Schizosaccharomyces pombe: one gene and its partner. The gene in region 2 interacts genetically with the main gene of each other region. Each region holds a gene or a part of one and is shown on either strand. Other genes may lie near its edges.

The links. A genetic interaction does not mean that the proteins touch.
Region 1: mutations in sap14 (region 2) and SPOM_SPAC18B11.03C together harm fitness more than expected from each alone (negative genetic interaction), as found in Schizosaccharomyces pombe (one large-scale study listed by BioGRID).

Annotation. Positions count from the first base shown.
Region 1 is NC_003424.3:309,774-313,534, reverse strand, and holds the start of SPOM_SPAC18B11.03C (N-acetyltransferase), read right to left. Parts: upstream 1,627-3,761; 5' UTR 1,354-1,626; coding exon 1,323-1,353; intron 1,321-1,322; exon of another isoform or gene 1,262-1,320; coding exon 1-1,261. Other genes in the region: ncs1 (calcium-binding protein), read left to right, coding at 2,101-2,164, 2,204-2,236, 2,355-2,698, 2,745-2,876; gpi18 (dolichyl-phosphate-mannose--glycolipid alpha-mannosyltransferase PIGV), read left to right, coding at 3,729-3,761.
Region 2 is NC_003423.3:2,049,367-2,052,799, forward strand, and holds sap14 (Pre-mRNA branch site p14-like protein), read right to left. Parts: upstream 1,403-3,433; 5' UTR 1,330-1,402; coding exon 1,086-1,329; exon of another isoform or gene 993-1,085; coding exon 892-992; 3' UTR 631-891; downstream 1-630.

The DNA of each region.
Region 1 (3,761 bases), on a different chromosome or scaffold from region 2:
TTTATAGCCAGCTCATGAGTTTGTTCGGTGTTCCCATCATCAAAAATAGAGAGGGAAAACGAACATGGACCATCTGCTACTGTTATAACATTTAGTACAAAAGGTGCAGAAAGACTGGAACAAGGTTGTGCAAATGCCATATTCTTGATTTTTACCGACGAATCGGCGGGAAAGCTAAAATACCCCAAATTAGATATTTCAGCCGTATTTCCTCTAGTTTTTTCACAAGATTTTAAAAGGTAGTCTTCAATATCAATATAACTTAGCAATCCAATTTGTTGAGACATCTCCCTAGGATTGCTAAGCGCTGCTTTTAATCGATGCGAAAACTCAGTTGCTAAATCTACCATGGTATGTTTATAGTCCTCCTGACGCTGACTTGGCTGAAAACCGTTTAGATGATGAACGTAAGAAAACACATAGTTTCCCATGGTTTGCTTGGCTACGGGCAAAAAACGGCGCGCATTCACATCAATGAGCATATCTAGGTTAACTTTACCATTTTTAGCAATAGCATAATATATACTGAGCATAAAGACAGAATAAAAAATCGAAGTGAAAGAAGCGTCTATGTTTTTTGAGAGTTGCTTGATGTTTTTAACAACAGCATTAGAAATTGAAAAGAATATTGTATGCGATGAAAATGGACGCACTGGAGCATGACCTTTATAAGAAGGAGACCGAAAGCCCTTAGAGAACGGAAGTCCAGAGTTTGTCCATAGTGCTTTCATTAGACAAAACCATGAAGGATGAACATCTATTAGTTTTTCAAGATTTTTAGGAAGTGGTAATTCTGATACTGGCACGGTTGAAGATGAAAAATTTGTTTTGGACATTTGTAATCCTTCCAAAACATATTTATGAAACAAAGGGCCACTTCCTCCGTCGAAAAGGGAGTGATCATATATAAAAACTAATTCGGACTTATCATTTAGTACATAGACCATCCAAAGAGGAAGTGTCTCATCGTCATAACATAGCTTAAAATTTTGAAGAGCGTTATTGCAGAAGCTATCAACTTTCTGATCATCAGCATATTTAACGACCTTATCAAGGTCTATTGTTTTCAACTTCTTTACAATGGGAATTTTGCTATGACAATTGTGGATCCTAGCACCTAGCATCGGTTGATTGACAATTGCATGATATACTGCTGGATATAAAACTGTCGAATCGAGCGAAATAGAGTAAGTTGCAGAAACAATTACTATAGAAAACATATTTAAGACATTCCTCTTGACGGAATAAATTTCCAACCGTCCTGTAGACATTAGTAAGAAAATGATTAGAAAATCGAAGAAATGTTAAACATAATTACCAACCTGCTTCTCTTTCTTCCATGTAGGTATCCATAATGATATTAATAGCTTTGCTTCAACGACAATTCAATAGTTTTGAAACCGAATAATGAGAGAATGCACTATTTAATCAGTGGTGAGTTATTTCAACGCGTAAAAAATGAAAATTTACATAAATTTACCAAGCGGCGCAGTGGAATCTCAATATCCATCGATAATCAATTGTAGTTAAATTCCAGCTACTTTGTTCATATTTTTATTTTTGAAACAGATAGATTTAAAATATAAAAAATGTATTTTCTGAACTGTAATAAAGGATGGTAAAGGTAAAACTACAAGATCAATAACTAATGTACAAATGAACTTTCAAAACATCAACTTGATGTTTTCAGTGATCTATAAAAAATCATTTTTTATGCTTACTATTTAAATATTTTTTTATATTCGTTCACATAAGTATCAACAAAGCTTGCATATTTTATTATTCACATAAATTGTTATATATCTGGAATACACTAGTTTAAAAATTTTCTAATAAATTTCTGCCAAACATGTATACGTAAATTTACATATCTTAGAATTAAAAAAAGATGAATTTACTTTTATAATGAGCCAAATAGGAACTGTTTTAATACCATTTAACACTAGTTACAACTTGTCGATTGACAACTCAATTTACCCTGCGCCTCCCCAACTTCAACTACTGCTAATTGCTAAACAACTTTAATATCCGACAAGTTACTTAAAAAAAATTATAAATTAAACCAACTATCCTCTGAGAAAAGATTAACTTGTCTTCAAGATGGGAAAATCACAATCAAAATTGTCTCAAGATCAACTCCAAGACTTAGTTCGTTCTACAAGGTGTACGTTTTGTAAAACTAGTCAATACTAACAAATCCAAGTTGATAAAAAGGAATTGCAACAATGGTATAAAGGTATGACAGCTATCCTAAAAAAATTGATTTTACATCCGCATCATGGTTCTGCAATTTGAATAAGATTCTTAATTGCTGCTAAATTGAATGTTTAACGCTGAATCTAACAAGTATGCAGGGTTTTTTAAAGACTGCCCTTCTGGCCATTTGAATAAGTCTGAATTTCAGAAAATCTATAAACAATTTTTCCCATTCGGTGATCCGAGTGCTTTCGCTGAATATGTATTTAATGTTTTTGATGCTGACAAAAATGGATACATTGATTTTAAAGAATTCATTTGTGCTTTAAGTGTGACTTCGAGAGGTGAACTGAATGATAAACTTATATGGGCATTTCAATTATACGATCTTGATAATAATGGATTGATTTCTTACGACGAAATGCTACGAATTGTTGATGCTATCTACAAAATGGTTGGTAGCATGGTCAAGTTACCGGAGGATGAAGATACTCCTGAAAAGGTTTGAATATTTAGTATGTTGAGCATAATGTCTAATAATTTTTTAGCGCGTCAACAAGATTTTCAATATGATGGATAAAAACAAAGATGGGCAACTGACACTTGAGGAATTCTGCGAAGGGTCCAAACGTGATCCGACTATCGTGTCAGCCCTTTCTTTATACGATGGATTGGTTTAGCTTTTCACCCCTAGTATGCATTATTATCAAAGTTTTCTTCTGCATATATATCTTCGATTAAACTACATTTTCGTTTTTATCTGTCTACCTCTCAACTTTTTTGTTGGTGAGATTAATAAGGTAGTTTTACTGTGCTTTTACTTAACATATCTGTTGTTTGTTTTCTGGCTTACTTCCTTGTTCTTTTTTGCTTCACTCAATGAAAGTACATTTTGCCTTTTATTACATTTTTTAATATAATGAAGGTTTTAGGCTCTTGCTTTAGATAAAATTCAAGAAACTATTTATAAATAATTCAGCGCGAGACATTTTTACATAGGTTCTTGCTCAATGCGGTTTTCATATATTCTTGTGCAATCACTGGATTATTTGTACCTGAAAGCTAGGGCAGTTAAATTAATTTAGTCCGAAAACGAATTGACATCTTTTACGAGTTTTTCAAACGTTACTTTTCTTTTACTGTTAATATATTCTCCATTAATAATCATCTATTTTTCACACATTTTAATGAGTGTGGTCATGCTTAGCTAAATTAAGCTTTAGGTTGTCTTTATAGATTATCACCCTGATAGTCGATTTAGATATTTATAAGTAATTATCTTTTTTAAATACTAATTTTGTGGCTTTCAATTCATTTATGAGTGTATTCATTTGAGAAATTTCTTATGTATAAATGCTTCGCATAAAGACGTTGCAATTTTAGTAGGCTTAACCCTAGTACGGCAACACCCAACTTCTTAATGGCAGGCCTGAACTTGGAGTTTTTCAAGGTATGAATATTCATTTTTAAATAAGGTATGAACCATACTAATTAAAAAGTTTACTTTATATTGTGCGCTTCCTTTAGCAGCAATGTATTATATTGGACATCCTAGTTATTATCGA
Region 2 (3,433 bases):
AAGCTTTAAAATTGAAGGTGTACTTTCCGACGTTTTGTTCACTTCTGACGGGTCGGAAATGTTGGTGCTTAGTTATGGTGCGGAGGTATGGCATTTTAATGTTGAGCAACGTTCAGTCGTTCGTCGTTGGCAAGTTCAAGATGGTGTATCTACCACTCATTTTTGTTTGGACCCATCTAATAAGTATTTGGCAATTGGTAGCAAGAGTGGTATTGTTAATATATATGACCTCCAGACATCCAATGCGGACGCTGCACCAAAACCTGTCACTACATTGGATAATATTACTTTCAGCATAAATAGTATGAGCTTTTCTCAAGATAGTCAAGTTTTAGCTATCGCATCTCGAGGAAAGAAGGATACTCTACGACTCGTTCATGTTCCCAGCTTTAGTGTGTTCCGTAATTGGCCCACCAGCGCTACGCCTTTAGGCAGAGTTACATGCCTAGCTTTTGGTAAGGGTGGTGAGTTATGTGTTGGTAATGAAGCTGGAAGGGTTGGACTTTGGAAACTAGCTCATTATGATTTGAAGTTTGTGCCAGATAAAATTATTAATTGGGAAATACGGTTGGGCAAATTTGGATACGTTTTATTAGGGATTCAAATCTTAATACTACATGTAGACGTTGTTATATTATAGATCAATGCATTACATTATTATTACTAAAAAGCTTTAAGCGAAATATAATAAAATTCAAGTCCTTATAGTACCTTTTTTATACCTAGGTTCGAAACACTAGTAAACGATTGTTTAATATGAGCCGATTCATTTTTCTGCTGTATGTTCTCTTCAACAGAATTTATAGAAAGAGGAAATCTATTACACGTTAATGGAGTCAATATCAGACTCCTAATTTGTTTGTTTTTTTTTGGTAAATAAATAGTAAACGTTCACTGAACACCGTATTTTTGCTTAACTTGTTCCAAGGCGGCATACCTTGCTGCCAAATCTTGACCATCAACCTTAGCTCTTTCAGGGTTATAATAATGCACTAAAAAAAAAGTTAACAAGAAGATATTAAAAAGCCGTTAGAAAGGAGAAATTAAAATTAATAGTAGCTAATACATTCCCTAAGATAACGTACCAACCAAGTATCTATCCATGAAGTTGTAGCCAGAAAGCTTTTCGCAAGCTCGACGAGCGTCTTGAACGTTTTCATAAACCACAAATGCAGTACCTCTTGTTTGAACCGTATTCCCCAGCCTTATTTGTCGTACAGGACCATACCTACCAAAAAGATCGTACATCTCTTCTGCTGTAATTTTAAAAGACAAGTTCTTGATGAATAGGATAGAATTGACTTCTTGATTAACTGTAGATGGAGGCATTTGTTATTTTTACGATCTTAACACTTTTTGTTAAAAAAATCAAATTTCGAAAAGAAATGATTTGGTTTGCTTTGGAAAGGATAAATATTCCTAAAAGGTTGGTTGGGATCAGATGGAAAATACTCGTTATCACAGCTTGGAGATTGATGTTGTATAGTCAATCCTATACGTGAGTTTAATTATAGTAGAAAAGATTGAGACATGAATATTAAAGGTTACGTTTCGTGGTTTGGACAAGAAGAGGTATATGCTGGGAAATCGAATGGACCAACAGATCGTAGACAAAACGGTTCAACCTTTTACCAAAATTTTCCTCTTCTTTTACCTGGTAACTCCAAATGTCAAATGCAATCCTTAGTTCATGAGATCTTTGATCAGAGTTGAAACTGACATGGCGGTGATTTCAATAGAGAGTCAATTTAAAGTGATTTTCAAATTATACATAACTAGTTGAAAATCATAAACATTTTTATTGGTATTTTTTGCTTCCTCGTTTGTCTATCCTACAGGAAATAGGTTTCAACTTTAAAACTGACAATTGCAAAGAATAGTTTGATAGTATAGTTGTATCATCAATTTATATTTTTCCTTATTTCTTTACTTTCTTTTAACTTATACTCTTGTTTGGCAATGGGACTTTTATCAAGGAAACAATTTGGTATCATTGATCTTTTGCCTACAGACCAACTAGTTCATCAATTTCTTCTCAAGTTCTTTTGAAATTTCTTAAATTTTTTATTTCCTGATCCCAGAAAACTACATCTGCAAAATTAATGATTCATTTTACGCTTCCAATGCCATGCTTTCGTATATAAGTGATAGCAACAGAGACACTAAAGGGAAAGGATAGCTTTGTTGAATATGTGGATCTTACTGTACTTCATTTTATCTAATTTGAAAGATTTCTCATTGCTCTTTGCTTACAACTGCTCTTAATTGAGAATGTGCTGCATTGCAAATGCTGTTTTGAAGCAATTTAGGAAATTACAGAAAAAAGAAACTATAGTAGCGTTTACAATTTCGAAAACTATACTAATAATTTTAACTAATGAAGCTAGCTATATTCATTATGATAAGCAGGAACTAAGTATTTAAAAAAGTAAATAATGTTGTACAAAAACGAAATAAACCAACTAACGTTAAAGTACGAAATTAATTGACTCATCTATAACCGTTCTTTATTTTTTTTATTTTTTCAATGAATAAAGCTATTGGCATTGATTGCTAATCTGGTTTGATATATGATATACATATTTTTCTTTTTGAAGTATTGAACAATTCTTTTTACGCTTCTAGTAGATTAATTACCATTTACTCTTTTTTTAAAAAAAATAAATAAATAAATAAATAAATAAAATTTTGTATATTCAAGTGGTTTCTGCTCATTAGCCTAATTCGCAAATAACTCTAGTTTAACATAAAATTTAACTTGACGAAATGCGAAAAATGTCTTGTACGACAAAATTTCAAGAGTTAGGATTGAGAGAAGAATTAAAAAACAATAGAACAATAAAACTATTGCACGTAACCCCTAAAACTTGTTGAAATTGGCAATGTTGATTAAATACCTATATCTGAATTAATTTACGAGAGAAAAAAACCTAAACGAAAGATTAATAAAAGCGCATATTTAAGGAAAAATTTTTCTATGAATAATTTCTCTTTTCATCCATTAATCGCCTTCTTGACCCATTTCTTCTCTTGTATTTACATTTTCATCTTAAGTAACACGTCACCTACATCAAGCATCCAGGTAGTCATCGTGGCAAGCATGAATTTGCTCTTTCCCCATATTCGCTACTGAGGTGTGCAGCCCTTCCGCGGCGTCATTGGAACTTCCACTGGGCCGGAAAGGCAAGAAGGATAATTACGGTTTTTAACGTTGAATACGCAAATATTTATAACGAAACGGTGGTTGAGAACTCGTAAATTGAATGAAGAAAATTTGATAAAGGTCGATAAATTTATTTAGCGATAATTTAACGATTTTACCGAGTTAACAAATTAAAGATTTTAATTATTTTTTAATATATTTGTATAAGTGAACAAATAGGTTTGCTTCGCCGTCTTTTTCAACTTGTCGGAAACAAACAATTATCTGGAA